4 linked regions of the Xenopus tropicalis genome follow. The protein of the gene in region 2 interacts with the protein of the main gene of each other region in a pairwise test. Links are inferred from orthologs where the notes say so. Each region holds a gene or a part of one and is shown on either strand. Other genes may lie near its edges.

Region 1 (5,178 bases), about 1.7 Mb from region 2:
TTTGTCCATGAATCCCATAACATTATGTGCTCCAAGACTATGCTAAAGACCAGTAATGCCAACCCCCTGCAATATATTTAAACATGTGGCTCAAACATGACTTTTTAAAACTATGGCTGATGAGAAGAAATCGTCCAACAGCAACAAAATAAAAATGGATAGTTGAATAAAATTACCACCAGAGGTCACTGTAGATATTTCTACAGAGGGAAAAATGTATGGACTTGTGTTTGCATGTATGTGTAACTTTAGTTATATGGATCTATTTGTATATACAGTACTGTACATGTTGCTGTATTTTTACAGTGGTTTTTTTTATAGTATTATGTGTTGAATTTGAAGCTTGGGGATGCACCAAATCTAGTATTAAGTTGGCGATTTGACCAAGATTCTCCCTTTTTCGGCGGGATTCAGATCCAAGTGCCTGGCCAAACTGAATCTGAATCGTTAAAATCACATAACTTTTGGTCAAGTGAACAAGGAAGTTACAAGATTTTCTATTTAACTGCTATTTAAACCTTCAGTAGCCAAACTGACATATACAAATTAAGATTCAGCTCAGTATTTAGCTGAATCTTTTACTAAGGATTCAGGGTTTGGCTAAACCGAAAAATAGTGAATTTGGTGCATCTCTAGTGATAATGAAAATGTAGTATATAAAGTTTTATTAAAAACAACAGACCAGGTGGAGCTTTATTTACATAACATATAAAACACAGCTGAACATATCAGAGATAATAGCAAACTCAATGCAAACAAAGCCAGGACTTCTGCTTAAAAAAAAAAAAAAAAAAATTTTTAAATCTACAATAAAAGGCCTGTTCTGATAAATAGAGACATCAACCCAGCAGGCCCATTTATTTGAAGTGTGATAGCCATACACCAACCACACTCTGAGCTCAGCCCAACGCTGCCAGTAACAAAGGGGTTTTATGCATTTTCAATGGGGAGGGGGATAACCGTAATATGGGTATGCGTTTGCTTTAGAAACATTACTATACTTTGTATAAATATTCTGAACATAGAAAATTCAGAGCTGAAGCACTGTCAGTCACAGTATTTATTGCACTGAACATACATTTACAATGCCACTTAGAATAAACATCCACATCACGTGGTCTGCATGCCAAGATATCTAAGCCTCTAAAACTTTACCTTTTGAGAACTGCTGAGTAAATCAGTTTTTTTCTGACATGTGGCTTACAAACTTCCTTCTTCGCTGATAAAAGCTCAGATGTTTTACAGAGATTCCAGACAGACATTTATAAAAGCAGATTTTCCAGCTTTCCTGCATTACTACTCTAGTGCAATTATAAAGTGGTAACTACACATAGAAGTATTAAATAAGGAACACATACAAATAGATAGATAAAAGGGCCCTCTCCAGTTGCACTATTTAGTAAACAGCAGAATATAAATTAACTCTAAGGCAGTAATCCCCAACCAGTGGCTCACATGTTGGCAACATGTTGCTCACCAACCCCTTGGATGTTGCTCTCAGTGCCCCCAAACCAGGTAGTTATTTTTGAATTCCTGACTTGGTGACAAGTTTAGGTTAAATATAAACAAGATTTACTACAAAATAAAGTCCCCTGTAAGCTGATAGTGTACATAGAGGCTGCCTAATAGCCAATCTTAGCCCTTATTTGGCGCCTCAATTTACTTTTATGATGCTTGTGTTGCTCTCCAAGTCTTTTTACATTTGACTGTGGCTCTCGAGTAGAAAGGTTGGGGACCCCTGCTCTAAGGGGTGCAAACCCAGATGCGACTGACAATTCAAGAAATGCTGCCAGTGATGTAATGAACAGGTCAATATGGTGCAAAGCAGTGCCTCCTATTTCTGAACTTAGGCAGCTAAACTTTGCCAGGGACAAACAGCAATTGGTGGAAGAGACCCATAGCTCACCAGAATATCCTTGGTTGTGGCGGTACTCAGAGCCCCACTATTTATATAAAGCAAGACTATCACAAATGAAGTCTTTTAGCAGTTGCTGAGCTAAAACCATGGTCCTGTAGTTAAAAAAAAATGAGTTAAGCTCAGAGTGAGACATTCCTGCTGACTGTTGCTTTCCCCCCTAACTATTCTAGCGGCTATGCCTATCATCCCTACTGCTTACAAAGGCAAGCTTAATGATAGTTCCAGTATAAAACTTCTATACATGTTCCTTGCATACAGATGCCTGTGAGGCTCCTCATGCAGCGCCCCCTGCTGGCACAGTCCCTAAGGACAGCTCTGCAATCACATAGAAGCTCCAAACTCGCAGCTCCTGCTTAACAATACTGCAAAACCGATCATCTTGACAGTGGCAATAGTGGTGTCATTTAATAAAAGAACAGAACGCTGGAATAAAACTGGGTGACATTACACGTACAAAATGCGCATAACATGTTCAGTGACAAGAACTTTGAATGAATAATAAAGCAAGCGTGGCATGTTTCTAGGGTTATTAAGCATGTGTATAGCCTAGGCCTTAAACTGATTCCAAACCAAACATGCCCGCCAATGAGCAGCTCCCCACTGTAAGTGCCACCCGCGGAGGACATATTAGTGCATGAATGTAATTATTTCTGCAAGCCTGCAGCTTACTTTCTAATCTATGATTTGCTGTCGCTGTGTGTGCCGGGAGATGTAGTATAGCAGCAAGTAAAGGATGCAGACTGCACAAATATAAGAATAAAACCCCCGTTGGCCAGCCTGAGCCTCGTGTAAAGCGCTGCGAGCACAATCCCAGGCCGATGTGCGAGGGAACAAAATACTTCAGACCTCATTAATAACATGTCAACGAGCAACAACACAATTTATTAGTAATAAGCAAAATATGTCCTTTAGTCAGAGAAATGCTTGGCGGGTTACATTTCCCGCCTCTCGGAACCGCGGCCTTCTGAAGCGCCTGTGCATAGCCAGGCATCAGCCCTTCCCGCCTTTACAGTTCCCTTCGCTTCTAGAACCCCCAGAACCCGGGAAGCCCCTGGCACAGCCCCGGATCCCCGGAAACCCGCCGGCTTTAACGCAATAAACAGGAAATCGTTCGGATGATCTGGGTTCCGGGGGAAGTTGAATTATTTTTTACCACAGAAGAGATCAACTTCCACATCCGGTAGGGCCCGACACCCAAGACTGACCTGGAAAAGATTCGGTAACCTGACAGAAACGTCTCCCAGCGCTGCCTAAGCTTACCGTGCCCGTCGTATTGGTACCGTCTCGGCTGCCCTGCTCTCCTCTGCTGGGGAGCTTTCCTTTCAAACCAAGCCGGTTTTACTTCAATCGCCTTCTCATCGGCGCCGAAAATCCCCGCACAAAAGTCCCCGCGTTTAGCGCGGAGGTGCACTATATTTTGTGTGCGCGCATTGCCTTGATTTCATGTTAGGGAAGGTGGCGCGACTGACTATGCCGTTGTGTTTAATTGTAAATAAGTTATTTTAATGCCTAAATGTTACTCTGATTGAACTGTATTCTCAGTTTATTAAACATATTTGTTTATAATCATTTTGCTGGTTACAGGAAGGAAAGTAGGTTCTGGCGGAGGGATACACAAGACGAGGCGAGGACGCAGCGAAGTAGCGCATGCGTGGAATGGAATCGAACTAGTGGCGTTTTGTGGAACTGTGGGTTGTCTCCGGAATAAGCTGCCGGTTCCGTTATTAGCATTCTGTGTGCCAAGTGGCACGGTTGTTTGTGGCTTTCCGACTTTTTTGTTTTGCTCGTTTAACTGAATGCGTTTACACAAACACCAGATGCTACGTTTCAATTGTTTTTTTTTTTGTTTTATTGCTCAGCATGTATTAACTAGGCAGCAATTCTCACTTGTATACATCTCCCCCAGTGCTGTACGGTAGAAAGATGTGTGGCTCAAACTTGAACGATATAAATAGAGCCTGTGCAATAAGTAAAGACGGTTCATGCGATACCTATTCACTATCTTTTGGCACATCATTTAATGCTGCTCCATCGCAAAAAAAAAATTTAAGGGCACTTAAAGGGGAAGGAAAGGCAAAGTCACTTGGGGGTGCCAAAATGTTAGGCACCCCCAAGTGACTTTAACCGCTTACCTTGTACCCCGGGCTGGTGCCCCTGTTAGGAGAAAATAGCACCAGCCCGGGGTAGCTGCCGGCGCTTCCTCCTTCCGGCTTCGCTGCGCGCGCATGCGCAGTAGAGTGAAAAGCCGAACTTAAACATTTAAGTCGGCTTTTTCGCTCTACTGTGCATGCCCGGCCACCGGCAGTTTAGGAAGTGGAAGGCGGAAGGAGGAAGTGCTGCACTCCAGGTACCCCGGGCTGGTGCTATTTTCTCCTAACAGGGGCACCAGCCCGGGGTAAAAGGTAGGCGGTTAAAGTCACTTGGGGGTGCCTAACATTTTGGCACCCCCAAGTGACTTTACCTTTCTTTTTCCTTTAAGAAATGCATGTTGCAGGGCTGCACGTTAATGCTCTTTTTGCTGAATTTTCTTGATTTTTTTTTCACATGATCATTACCTTAGCTTACAGGTTCTGCAGCACTTTACAGAGAATGAGAGCTTGTAATGCTATTACATAAAGTTTAGTTAAGAGTCCATGGTACTTTGGGTGCTCAGTAACTGACACAGGCATCTGAGAAGCACCCCTGAAGGTGCCACCACCGTGGCATCCACAGCCCCCCGCAGGGCCGTCAACCTGACCGTTTCCCCTGAGCTTGCCTAAATTAAACTTACCTTCAGAGCGTCAGGGGAGGGTTGCACCCAGCGGGGATTGGGTCAGGGTGGCAGGTGTTTTTTCCCGGCATCCCGTTGGCCCAGACTGACCCCGAGTAGGGTTGCTACCTGTCTGGTTTTGACCCAGACAAGCCCAGTTTTCAGAACGGCTTGTCCCTTTCAAAATCCCCTGCCCCATTTTCCAAATTAGGAAAACTGTGCAGGACTCCCTGAGATTGCCGACCGCTGCATCATAACCCTGCCTTGTGATGTCACTGCCCCACGTATTTTCCACCCCGTGACATCACCACCCGCCCACTGCCTGGAGAAAAAAGCCAGCAGATATGGCAGCCGTAACCCTGACAGTGTCCATAGATTTCTGGTAGTTCCCTGTATCACCCTTTGCACTGCATTCTGTAAAAGAAGCTGACAACCTATTCCAGAGGTCCTTGGTTCTGCAACATGCTGTAATCTTGGGGAGGCTTAATTCCAGTAAATACATTTGTCCCAT
Region 2 (4,485 bases):
ATTTCAATCTATATAAGTCTTTCTTTAACTTAAACAGTAAAAACAACAGATTCCCTTTTACAGAAAAGCAAAAATGCCGTTTGTTCTTCAGCATCATAAGGACCATTTTGAGGTTAAATTATATGTAAAATTAAGTACAGAAAGAACATATAGCATTACATAATAAGTGTTAGCTATTTTAGTTATTTACATCAGGTGTGATATGACTTCCCATATTTATGTAAGCCAATTTCCCTTCATAAGGAGGCCGTAGTCTTCCTGCATTGCCATGGACTCTCTGATTCCCTGTATGGTAAAAACTGTATGTGGTGCAGTGGAATGCATGTGCCCCTTTGTTTGTTATAATGCTCTGCAAAATATGGAATTTGCTAATGTATTTAGGTATTTGCATTTACAGACTAGGCTCTTACTTCACAGAAAATCCACTGTCCAAATTATGGCTTTCAGTCTTTGGGCTGGATGGGACCTCATCCTCAGGGTGAGATTCATTCGGCCAGGGATCAGTGACTTGTAACTGCGGAGACTGAGGGAAGCACAGCAAGGACTTCATCAAAGCAGAGGAGACCTGGTTGCTGATGGAATAGATCTTGCTACAGTTTTCATTTATCTTCAGTGCATCAGAGGGTGTGGAGGCACTCAACGGGAAGCTCCTAGATCTTTGGCTCGGTGTCTTGTATGGAATCGGTTCATTGAACTCGGAAGAGAGAAACTGGGGTTCGTTACTAGTACTGCTGCTCCTTCGCATGCCCTGGAAACTGGATTTTTGTGGTGACTGAGACAGTTCTGGTTCTTCTTTTTCAGGAGACTTTGGAATAGCCACATGGGGCTGTATAACTTCAGGAACCTGAATTTCAGCTGTGCTCATGGTAACATTGTTCAAACAGACTGTTACACTTTCTACTTCTTGTTTGTTAAAGGGCTTGTCATTTGGTGCTGAAGATGTAACATTCCCCCTGTCGCTTATTTTCCCAGCTGGCGATGGTGTGCTAAATGTTTCAAAGGAATTTATCTTTTGTTTAATTGATGATGTTCGACTTGAAGTTTGTGGTTTAATGTTGTTTTGAATCTCTTTGTATTTAGCTAGAGATGTGCTCTCAGTTGGCTTTTTATCTACATTCTTATACCCCTTCAGACTCTGCCGATACCAGGCTGGCTTGGGAGCAACTGGTGGACCCTTTTTGAAGGTATCCTGAGGGCTGCACATCTGAGAGTCCTCACATGGAGAATCTCTTCTGAGTCTCTCTGTATTGCCACCTGCTGCACTGATACTACTTTCTAGATCCATTAGGTTGTGGCCTTCGTTTATGAGGGGACTGAACAAGTTTTTGATGCAGTCAGAAATTCTGACCCACGGATCTTCACTTGTTGTGTCAAAGCTGTAGTCAACACGTGCTTGTCTTCTTAGCAGCGGTCGGTGGTTTGATACAGGATTTCCTACGGAACACAAAGGACAATAGATTTATTATAATTACATCTGTCTACCTAATCTCCTGGGGATCTGGATAGGGCCATTAATGTTTGAAACAACAGCTATGCTTTGCTTTAGCCAATAATGTGCTGCTGTAATAAGTTCTGTACACTGTGTTATCTCCCCAATCAGTGCTAACTTGTATGCACTTAATAGGCAGTGTTTGTTGTTCTCAAAACATTTTCTGTAAATGTAATTTTAAGCACACTCCATGTCACCATCCTTGGGACAAGCTTGTACGTGTTTCTAAAAAATTGTGGCTTGGGTTTCTATAGGTTGGCCATTAACCATATGAGCCAGAGGAAGATTTGTAGCATTCACAAATCCTAAGGCAGTGCTGTCCAACTTAGTACATGTCATGGGCCAGTTATACCTCATACAGCATGGTGGGGGGCCAGATATATTTAAAATGTCCTATGGAGACTCTGAGCAGACTCCAAATCTTTTGGGTGCCACAGGCCTCCAATTGGACATCCCCATGTAATAGGATTGGGTTAATATGCTGAAATTAAGACATGAAATAGCTTGTAAATGGTTGGTGATTTCAGTCAAGTTCAGCCATTTCTCTGTAGGGCATATGCATTATGTTAGGTGCAAAATTGCAAAAACCCTATCATGCAGTTGTTTGCATTTAATCTTAATCAAAAGGGATTCTGGGAATTTGTTCCCAGAATCCTTTTTGTCTATTTGCTTATGTATGAGGCGGTCTCCTAAACCCCTTTGACTTGTCATTTAATCTTATAAATGAATACCAAGCAGTTTAGGTAAACCATACAGAATGCTAGGGGCAGTTGGAACATTTTGCATTTCTTTGGTATATAAGGGCCAAACTGTCCTCCAATAAATGAACTATTTTTCCATTCCGAAAATGCAGACAAAGCCTGGAATATCACGGGCCCACAGTCTGTATTTTAATTTGAATCCCATGCTAAAATCTTACTAATGTGATTAAATGTTAAGTTTTACATTTATCATCCCTATATGTATTATGAGAAGTTCTGTAATTGGTGCGGCCAAAAACACAGCTTTAGTCAACTGGGGTTTGGACTGCTACATAGGGTTCCATATTACCTATAGTATATTGTTTCAAACTGCATACACCCTCGATTTCCTTAGTAAAACTTTTTCCTGCATCTAAAACTCTTCCATTTATTCAGTCAGTAACGGCTATAGCTAATATTAAAAGGTAATTACAATTTGTTACAGGGTTTGTAAGACACCTTCATCTCTTTGCCTGTGCCAACATTGGTGGCCAAATTAGGTAAAGATCTGCTCATTTGGTCACCTTTCTAAACAAGCGGATCTTACCATATATAGACAACCTCATTTACTTACTAACATAGGAAGTCAATAACACCAGTGCAGTTACCCATAGTAACCTATTAAATCTTTGCTTTCATTTTATAGCTTGTAGCAAAGAGATCAAAACTAGACACTGATTGTTTCTATAGGTAACTGCATTAGCGCAGTTTATGACCTTTCTTGGTATTCTGCATGAGAGGGCTTAAGCTCCAATCTTAACTCTCACTGTGTTGGCTGACTTTACTAATCACTTTCTTATTGGCTGTTTGTAGGCTTGCAGGAGCTGCATTAATGCAACCTTACACCAATTGTTATACCCCACTGCATAGAAACAGATTGCATTGTAAATCAAGGCACCTAATGCAAAATGTGGGACTTGCCTCCTCCGTGCCACTCGAAAATTTCTAATCATCACCACTTTTATAATCTCACCCTCTCCTGTCTACCCATAAACCCCCATGGCCAACATATGGGATTACATATTGTTTCACTTATGCTGTTCTTTGCCCTTTCATACTTATTGATGAAATTTGCTCATGGGAAGAGTGGTCATGACATTTAAATCTCTGTAGTGATGCCCCTGAAAGCAGAAAGGAAATCTTTTATGCAGACCTAGTTAATACCCCTTCATAGTTCTTAAAAAAATCCATAAATGATTTGGGGAGAAATGCAAAGTTTTTGCAAACCAAACAGAAGTGTAACAACAAAGGAAGCAGACAGTGACCCTGCAGTTGCAGGGGGTCCCAGGAGCATAGAGGGCCCAGTAAGGCCCTAATTAAAGAGCAATTCCAATATCGGTATATCTTGGTACATTAGGCCAAGTTTTGGGGCCCCAAACTGAATTTAATGTTGGGCCCCAGAAACATCTAGATATGCCACTGGCTCCTAAAAACATGAACTAGTACAAGTACAATTAATTGAAACTATTTAGAAAAGAATGTGAATCATTTGATTGGCTTTTTATTTTTTTTTTCTTTTAAAGTACTACATGGATCCATTAACATGTAAATGTATTACATGTGCATTTAATCTCTATTAAATAGACAGAAATATGCATGTGACTTATTGTGGGTGCAAAGCAGAACATTCATTCTCTATATAGTGACATTTATACGAGTTAAGTAGGTTTCCTAATGCATATGTATCCCGGTTTAATAGCTTTTTTCTCACTCCTTGGTTGAGGGTGACATCTTTTTTATGCATTTAGTGGGCAAATGGTTCAGTTTATGTATGCAGAGCTCTCTGGTGCACAGTGGGTTAATGAAGCATGCATAATGGTAGCTCCCAACCTTTGGCTGTCAGTGGAATTCTGTAAGCTGCAGTTTCACTTGCAGGCTGTACATCTCTGATTTATATAATGAACATATCTAAAACAAAGTTTAAAAAAAAATGTCATTATTTCCTTTTATTTCTTCATCCTTTCCCCTGTTATGGGAAGGCAATTGCCCTTTCTTTCCTACACTAAACCCAGTGCTGAGTTCTGGACAGCTTTCACAAAGGACTCCCAAAGACATACCTGTGTCGGAGTGCTTATCTGGCTCTGCAGCACTTGTGTATGAGCACTCGCTGGTCGATGAAGATGTGTCTAATATGCTCTCGCCTGTAATTTGCTGGTTTCCCTTTAGCTGTAAGTTTCCTGTTTCCTGTGAAACAATGCAGACATGTCAAAAACTGCAACATTCTAAAACCCACAAAACTCTCAGAGGATACTGTAA
Region 3 (4,485 bases), on a different chromosome or scaffold from region 2:
ATGAAAGATTATTTCAAAGACTGGAACCCACTTAGGGTAAGTTATAAAGGTCTTACACAACTCACCTGCTTTGTTAGAATTACCCAAGGAGAACGGTTACACTGTGTCCCTTTGACATACCTGTAAATACCACTTCCATTTTACAAAATTTGACAGGTTGTGTAAAGTTTAAACATATTTCTGGGGGGGGTTTGGGGGTCTTGTTTTATGTAACTACAGTTTTGCTAATAAAGGTGAAATTGCCCCTTAAGCTGCAAGTCTCAGTTCCCCCAAAAGACCTTTTTAGCTTCTTAGTTACAATTGTATTTCAGTGCATGGGGTGAGTATTCTGGGCTCTGCCAAAAGCTACTTTTCTAATTTAGTTTAAGAAACTGTATCTTTTTTGGTGTTCGGTGCAGGAGATCAAAGGGAAATGAGGGACTTTTCAATAAGAATCCGAGACTGTGGGCTGAGCTGTTAAAATCGGCACTTTCCCTTGAAAATCGGGACAGGTGGGAGGTATGCTTTGAGGAGTTTTTGGGTCGGGATTCAGGATAAGTGTCAATTCGCTTAAGGGGGCAGTAAAAACTGGGAAGTTCCTCCCCTATTGTGCCTATTATATGACATATAGCACAGCAGGAGATGGTGTGTTGATGGGCTGCTGACACTTAAGGGGCTGGGGCATTACTGATGTTATTCCAAAGCAAGATCATCCTATTACCTTTAACATATGTGCCCTGGGCCTATCCTTGCCCCAGTTTCTAATTGCTCTCTCTCTTCCTGCCTAGGATCCTACTTATGGGACTGATGTCATGAGTAAGTGGAAGAACCTTCTAGAGGAAGGTCACCTCCTATCTCACAGTGCACATGATGCATCTATGGACCCATACCACAGGTACCAATTACTCCCCTAGCCCTTTAGTTAAGTATTAGGTGGGCATAAACTATGTGTAAATCATCCTCCCAATGAAAATGTACCAAATAAATCACCCCCTTCCTTTCATAAATATCAGTTTCCTTGTTTACCTGGCGTTGGGTTGTGATGCTTTCCGAAGCTGCCCATAAATAAAGCACCCCCCGGTCACTAAGGGGTTAACTAGAGCAAATGTGGAGACAAAATGCAATTGATTTTTTGTGGATCATAAACTTTTAATGTGTTGTTTAAACCTCAGTGTTATTCTCTGTTCCAATGCAGATTGCTGTGGGAGACGTGGGTTCCCCTGTTGAGGAGTATCATTGCCCAATGGCAGCCCAGAAACTGCGCTCCCATGGTGGACTTTTTAGACTGCTGGGTCCATTTGCTGCCAGTCTGGATCCTGGATAACATACTAGATCAGCTTATTTTCCCCAAATTACAAAAAGAGGTAAGTAAGTTCCTTTGTTATCACTTATATGTGTGAGCAAACATTATTATGTCGTGGGCCACAGTATTCTCAGCATCTGGGCTTAGTACAAGAGAATGAGAGTGCTGTATTAGTCAGAGCTGGGCCAAGGCACCCATGGTTTTATATATTAATGTCATTCTTTACATTTCTGCATTAAGGTTGAGAACTGGAACCCCCTGACAGACACCGTCCCAATCCACTCGTGGATTCACCCCTGGCTTCCTTTGATGCAGTCGCGGCTAGAGCCACTCTTCTCTCCCATTCGGAATAAACTTGCCAACGCCCTCCAGAAATGGCACCCCAGCGATTCCTCTGCCAAGCTGATCCTGCAGCCCTGGAAGGAGGTGTTTACGCCAGGCTCTTGGGAAGCCTTCATGGTGAAGAACATTTTGCCAAAGCTAGGTGCGCTGGCGCTAATAAGAACATCTGTGTGTTTATCCACAATTTCATTTATTTACATTTCATAACAGGAATATCCAGTCCTATCTGTTCGTATATCCTGCTCTTTCTACAGTTTCAAGCTGAACTATGCTACTAATTTAGCCAATAAAAATAAATATTTGGGATTTATGTAGTAATATAGGTAAAGCTTCCCCCAATCAGTATTCTATAGCAATTAATCAGATGTTTGCTTTCATTATTCTGATTGCACTATATAAGTTAAAGCTGCCATCTTGTTCCTATGGGCTATTGGCTCAGATACAAATTACTGCTCCAAATGAGCGACCCATGATAAAAGTAAAGTGGCCACAAACCAGCTGACTTTTGGGGTATCCAAGGATTTCTCCCAAGCAATGTGCATTCCCTCTCCTGCTAAAATGGGGGTTCAGTTGCTCATCTCATGTACAGACCTCCAGTGACTCTTCTCTCTCCCCCTGTAGGCATGTGTCTCAGTGAGTTTGTTATTAATCCGCACCAACAGCACATGGAAGTCTTCCACTGGGTCACTGACTGGGAGGGGATGGTCTCTTTGTCCAGCATCGTAGGGATCCTGGAGAAACATTTCTTCCCCAAGTGGCTGCAGGTAACTATATTGTTGGAAACCATAATGGCTTTGCATTGAATTTGAATTTGGAATGTTTTACTATAAGAATCATTATTGTTTCCCCAAGTAGAAGTAGTCTGTGTTTGTGCACAGCTACAGGAAGAATGATATGCCCTGTTATAATAAAACCATAAAAGATAAATAAACCTTTAAAATAAATGAATGTAAAATTGCTGAGATTGCTATTCTAAGCACCTTTGCTGTTTTCATGTATTATTTTTTTATTCTTAAGATATTAAAGAACAAAGTACTGTTGACATTGTTTTACAACGGTGAATTGTGTTACAACAGTGCCATCTGCTGGTCAGTGTCCGTCCATGATGACGATGTTGTCAGGAGAAAGAAAGAGGGCTGATCTGATGCTCTTCTGGTTAGGGAAACATTAGAAACCTCAGATAACTTTTTCTCATCTGAATGTAAATTGCAAAAGTGCTTAGAATAGCACCCCTATCAATTTTACATTCACTTATTTTTAAGGTTTACTTATCCTAAAATAAGCCTTTCTGCAGTGTTTGTGGTTGGTAATAGGCTTCTCAAAAGCAGAGTTAAAAGAAAATGGCTCCTGTCAGCACACAGTAATAAAGCAGTAACTCCATGTATTAGGAAATGCGAGTGTTGCAGCTGTGAGGATAGATAAATACAGTGTTTCCTTATTGCCCTTCTGCTTCTTCTTAGGTTCTGTGCTCCTGGCTCAGTAATAACCCCAATTATGAAGAGATCACCAAGTGGTATCTCGGCTGGAAGTCCATGTTCTCAGACCTGGTGTTGGCTCACCCGGCCATCAAGGACAAATTTAATGAGGCTCTGGATATCATGAACCGGGCTGTGTCCTCTAGTGTCGGTAAGTAAATATATATTCTCCTATTCATATCTGCTCCTGTTTAGTAGGCTTCTGGTGGGCAAAAAACGGATCTGCCACTGTGTCAGTGAAGGGACGAGATAATAGGGGATTAATCTAATGTTATGTGAAGGATAAAGCAGTGATAGAAGAGCTGACATTATTTCATAGCTCTTCTCCCAATGCATCAGACTCTAACATTATTTCTTTGAGGGATTGAGGCTGTAGAAGAAGAGCTGATGGTCTTTCTTTGAGGGGTTAAGTGGGAGAAGAGCTGACTGTATTTCTTTGAGGGGTTGAGGCAATGGAAGAAAAGCTGAGAGGGCCTATTATTATATCCATAGAAGACCAATTCGATACCACTATGAATAGACTAAACAAACTTGCAGTGAGACTAGAATAGATGCTGTATGATTATATGAGTATAACAGTGCATTTGGATTACGGTTTGATGAGCAATGTTTGGGTGCAGTGGGTGCCGTGCCTTATGTTCTTTATTCAGTACATGACCCAACTGTCTCTTACTTGCCTGTTCCAGGTGCCTACATGCAGCCGGGGGCACGGGAGAGCATCGCCTACCTCACGCAGACCGAGAGAAGGAAGGACTTCCAGTACGAGGCTATGCAGGAGCGGCGAGACGCGGAGAGCATTGCTCAGAGAGGAATAGGGGCTGCAGCGGCTGTGCCCATGAACTTCAAGGACCTGATCCAGTCCAAGGCCGAGGAGCACAACATCGTATTTATGCCTCTAATTGGCAAGCGTCATGAGGGGAAACAACTTTACAACTTCAACCGCATTGTGATCTATATAGACAGAGGCGTTGTGTTCGTACAGGGAGAGAAAACGTGGGTGCCCACTTCCCTGCAGAGCCTTATTGACATGGCCAAGTAGACTTCTAGTCATACGGCAACTGTCAGCCACCCCTGGACTCTGTATATACCTGTATCTAATGGATTTGATAGTGTTCGAATACATTGATGGGTAGCTGATAGCACTTCCTATGTGACCTACTGGCTTCTTGTTTCCGAGGGCTTAATCCAATGAATAGAGACTGACCTGCAATTATTTTTGTATTTAATAAATCCACATTGCCCTTGTGTACCCAGGGGTCTAACCGCATCCCAGGATCTTTGTTATGCGGGCCTAGGTACCCATCATTGTACAAGAGTAGTGATGGGGGAGCACCCACATACACCTTGCACCCTATTAGTAGCCATGTTTTCTGTTCCTCTAGGGGT
Region 4 (4,485 bases), on a different chromosome or scaffold from region 2:
AGCTGCCCAGCTAGGTGACCTGTGGTAAAATATGGGCTCTCAATGGACTGTTATGGCCCGAGGGGCTGCCCATGACTTCTATTTATATAATTTAGTCAGTGGGCATGCAATATATGAGTTAACTGTCTATCACGTTAATATTAGTTCTACGTAAATGTTTGCCCATGATAGAGAGAATGGTACCGGTTTATAACCCATTGCTGGTATAGTAGAAGCTGCCATCTTGTTTGCCTCATCTGGTCTACAAATTCCCAGTAAGAAAAATGGCACGAGGAGCACTAGCAATCACTAGCAGTCACACGGCCCTGGTACTCATACAAAATGGCAAATCCCACTTCCGAGCATGAATACAAACACAAATATAAAAAAAATGTGCCAGCACAATGTTAAATGTGACGATAAAAACCTGTATTTTCATATTTTATTGCCTACCAATGGAAAATAAAACTCCACGTACAACTAGTTGTCTAGGGGCAACCGCCAGTGACTAAAATGATGCTGCTGCATTTAGTCTAAGCTGCACATCACATATTTTATCCCCTCTGGAGCCCCTCTACCTCAGGTACAATGGTACCTTGAGACAGGTCTTCAATGGCACGACGTATTCCTCTATCAAAAGCTCGGGCATCGGCGGGACTTTGGAACGTAAGGCCGAACTTCTTGTCTCCGATCCTCCAGTGATGGAATGTAGGGGTAACTTTATTGTAGACAAGATCCCTCCTGAGCACACATTCCAGGACCACCTGTGGAAAGAAGAGATGTCACAGACCTGTAATCAACACGGAAACATCTGACTTGTGTTAAACCTGCCCAGGCCCTGTAATAACCATGGTCACAACCCAGGAACATCTGGAATGTTCTTACAGTTTATTCTTTGAACTACAGGAAAAAAATAATTAGGGGGGAAAAAAGCAAATCCCAGCTGCCATGTCACAGACCAACTGGAATGAAGCACTGAAGCATATGTGGAACAATGGCTCACGCGCTGCAATGGCTAACGGATCATTTATATCTTAGCAGAATCTATTATACACTATACAACAGACTGCGACAATTTTTGCAGGGATGATATCACACAAAAAGACAAATTCCATCAGGATTCTAAGATTTATTTATCTGAAGGCTGAACCTTTGCTGTGATGGGCCATGGGCCACAGAGAGACAGGAATATGTACATTAGGGTGCAAATTTGGTACATCCCCATATGTAGCCTGGGTCTATGCAAAATTTATACTACGCTACCAAGAAATGCTGCACATTGCTGCAGGCCAGGCATCCCTACTACACATTAACAACGGAGGGGGGGAGTAATTTTTAGTAAAACCTACTAATGGACAAATTCGACCTATCCAAAATATGATCCAATAGAATAAGCCTCAGTGAGGGTTTTAACCAGTGAATATTTGATATGATCACTATGAAGCTAAAACCACAGATGGATAATGACCCACCCCATTAAATACTGTATGGGCTGACTGGCCAGGAGGTTGAAATCTGACTGGATACTGGTGGCCCAAAAGGGATGCCTGACAAACTGCTTTCTGTTTCAGCTTTGTTGGGTAATGTTTGCTGAGATGTATGCAGAGAGTCAGCACTACGTATTGTGCCAGTTTATGGTTTACACAATTATATGCTTCATGAAATAATGCGGGTCTTAACTACACAGGCCGCATTTTCATCCACCATCCAGTAAATAGCTAATATACGGCAAATACTCTGTATTTGTCTTCATGCTTGTCTAAAAATGTCTAAAATAAATGAATGTTCTCTTAACTGAGGGTGTTTTATAAATTTGCTTTGACATTTTCATGCCTGCTTAACTAGAATTTGCCTTTAAGGTGTGTTAGAAAATATGCACTACAACAAACAAAACAACCCTGCACATATGCTACAATGCACTGCTTAGTTGTGTGAGTCAGAACACAAACACTTCCCTGTACAGTATTGTGCACCCCTGGAATTCTAGCCCATTTTATGTCCAGGCCTCGTGTATCGCTATGATTACATTTCCCATAGGAAGTCTGCTTGGAAAAAGACCAGATGTGAGCAGCTGGAGAAAGAATGCAGAACACAAGGTACAATATGGCGGAATGTGTGTCTGTGCAGTGTGGGCCACATGAAATACACATCACACTCACTGGGTCTCAGGAGGGAACAGAGGAAACAGAAGAATTTCTAAAATGTGCAAGGGTTCTTGAGTTTTTAGGGATTTACAGACGGACCTGTATCTTAAAGGGAAACAAATCAATCAGAGGAGCACATACACATGATGACACGTGAACACTTGCACAACAAAAGCACTTAGAGACCAACACACAACACTACACTTATTATACAGGTGTATAGTAAAATGGCCATACAGTGAGAGCCACTGGCTTGGCAAACTAAATGATATTTCAAAATACACTTACTGAGCAGGCAACCCACATTTTCTATCAGCACACTTCATGGCTGTTGTCTAAATATGCACCGCATTCTGCAAATGGGATTAAAAAAAATCTGCACTCTGAGTCAGGAGGCAGATTTAGTAAGGCTGATGCCATGCGGTGTTTTTGCCTGCAACTGGAACCACTGAATCTGCCCGATTGCAGGCACGTGCAATAGATATTGGCTCTGAATACAAACACTTGAGTTTCTTTGCCAACATCTGCCACGTGTGCCTGCACTAGGGCCAACACAATGGATCTGGATGCAGGCTTTTCCGCAGGGCAAGAATCAGCCCTGTGCTGCATCAGCTTAAGTATTAACTTCTTTGTGAGACTTACTATTATTTGTCAAAATGGTTTCCTATGGGAAAATAAAATTTTGGTGTGTGAAAAAAACAGGAAGAAAAAATTTGGATGCAAGTGAAAAATTGGACCTTTAGCATATCTGCCCCGTAGGCCTAGGGCACACACAGCATATAAGGTTGATCAGCTCTCATTCTGCCCCGTGTACAGTATGATAGTGATTCGCCCAGCTTTTATGCTGGTGGACAAAAAACGCAGTATCTGCCATAGGCCTTAGAACGTCGGCCACCATAACACCCAATAGGGTTGATTGACTAAAGTGCGATAAACGTTATCACATGCTTTTTTGCGCTAAAATTGCCGCAAAAAACCCCCCCGCGTGATTCGCTAAAGTATTATCGCATGCATTAAGTTGCATATCGCGTGCGTTAAATAGCGTGCAGCCGAATGTGTTAATTTTAATGCATTGCGTTAATTCTTGCGCAGAAATAATACTAACGCATGATTCACAAACACTTAGACGCGCTAAATATCGCATTAGTCTGTGCACAAATTAACACCTACTTGAGGCAGGAGGTAATTATAGAAAAGTACAGTTCATGAGCTTTTGGCAACACAATATGGACTTTGCAGTGGGATTTATTCAAGTCTGTGTTGGCCCTAGAGTGATGCAGCCGCCAGTTTGCAGGGAAATGGTCATTTTCAGAACAGTAGTTTTCCGAACGTAATGGTGTGTATGGCTAATAGCGTGCTGCGTTAATTAGCGCACGTTGCGTCAAATACCGCACGATAATAGTCTTCGCAACTTAAATAACGCAAACAGCATTGCATCTAAATTAACGCAAGTAACCTTTTAGTGAATCGTGCGTTAAGACGCGAAAAATAAGACGCAATAAACTTTTTAAAGAAAGCTATAAATAGCGCTCGTTTTATCGCACTTTAGTGAATCAACCCTAATGCCTCTCCTTGCTGCCTGTCATCTACATAAATAGAAACTACCTGTCACTTTATTACATTTGGGCTTAGACAATTAAAATAATCATCTGATTGTTTTACTTTCCCAGTCACTGTTCAAGATAGGCAGATTAGTGGATTAATAGAGATTGTTACAAAGAACGCACTTTCTTGTAGATTTCACTCCCCTTAAAGGAACAGTAACACCAAAAAAGAAATGTGTTTTAAAGTAATTAAAATATAATGAACTGCTGCCCTGCACTGGTAACACTGGTCTGTTTCTTTCAGAAACTCAATGGGGGGAGCCATTTTAAGGTGCCCATACACTATAAGATCCGCTCGCTTGGCGATGTCGCCATGCGAGCGGATCTTCACCCGATATCCCCACCTACGGGTGGGCGATATCAGGTAGCAAGGGACTTTTGAGCTTATGGGGCAGTCGGTTCGGGGACCGCATCAACGAGCCGATGCGGTCCCCGATCCGACCGGATTTTCTAACCTGGCCGATCAAGATCTGGCCAATTTCAGGCCAGATATCGGTCGGCCAGGCAGCTCTGTTCTGCCCATACATGGGCCGATTAGCTGCCGAATCGGTCCAAGGGACCGATATCGGCAGCTATAGTCGGCCCGTGTATGGGGACCTTAAGTTGGAAAAATGAGAAAAGGCACAGGTTACATAGATAACAGATAAGCTCTGTAGAATACCATGGTGTTTTATCTGTTATCTGCTATGTCAACTGTGCCTTTTCTCATTTTTTCCAGCTTAAATTGCTGCCCCCATGGCTACACAGCAGCTTATTAT

Evidence for each region.
Region 1: the proteins of il16 (region 2) and gabpb1 interact in binary tests that used the Homo sapiens proteins (3 or more experiments, as listed by UniProt). The two-hybrid records come from large-scale screens. The link is inferred for Xenopus tropicalis from reciprocal best matches to the Homo sapiens genes IL16 and GABPB1.
Region 3: the proteins of il16 (region 2) and tfip11 interact in binary tests that used the Homo sapiens proteins (3 or more experiments, as listed by UniProt). The two-hybrid records come from large-scale screens. The link is inferred for Xenopus tropicalis from reciprocal best matches to the Homo sapiens genes IL16 and TFIP11.
Region 4: the proteins of il16 (region 2) and spred1 interact in binary tests that used the Homo sapiens proteins (3 or more experiments, as listed by UniProt). The link is inferred for Xenopus tropicalis from reciprocal best matches to the Homo sapiens genes IL16 and SPRED1.

What each region holds. Positions count from the first base shown.
Region 1 is NC_030679.2:104,957,523-104,962,700, reverse strand, and holds the start of gabpb1 (GA-binding protein subunit beta-1), read right to left. Parts: upstream 3,310-5,178; 5' UTR 3,179-3,309; intron 3,138-3,178; exon of another isoform or gene 2,078-3,137; intron 1,478-2,077; exon of another isoform or gene 1,156-1,477; intron 1-1,155.
Region 2 is NC_030679.2:106,706,247-106,710,731, forward strand, and holds part of il16 (pro-interleukin-16), read right to left. Parts: intron 4,414-4,485; coding exon 4,287-4,413; intron 1,435-4,286; coding exon 411-1,434; intron 1-410. UniProt on the Homo sapiens protein: Interleukin-16 stimulates a migratory response in CD4+ lymphocytes, monocytes, and eosinophils. Primes CD4+ T-cells for IL-2 and IL-15 responsiveness. Also induces T-lymphocyte expression of interleukin 2 receptor. Ligand for CD4.
Region 3 is NC_030680.2:15,115,112-15,119,596, forward strand, and holds part of tfip11 (tuftelin-interacting protein 11), read left to right. Parts: coding exon 1-36; intron 37-767; coding exon 768-874; intron 875-1,174; coding exon 1,175-1,343; intron 1,344-1,522; coding exon 1,523-1,766; intron 1,767-2,245; coding exon 2,246-2,388; intron 2,389-3,084; coding exon 3,085-3,250; intron 3,251-3,785; coding exon 3,786-4,138; 3' UTR 4,139-4,485. UniProt on the Homo sapiens protein: Involved in pre-mRNA splicing, specifically in spliceosome disassembly during late-stage splicing events. Intron turnover seems to proceed through reactions in two lariat-intron associated complexes termed Intron Large (IL) and Intron Small (IS).
Region 4 is NC_030684.2:110,799,506-110,803,990, forward strand, and holds part of spred1 (sprouty-related, EVH1 domain-containing protein 1), read right to left. Parts: intron 744-4,485; coding exon 575-743; intron 1-574. UniProt on the Homo sapiens protein: Tyrosine kinase substrate that inhibits growth-factor-mediated activation of MAP kinase. Negatively regulates hematopoiesis of bone marrow.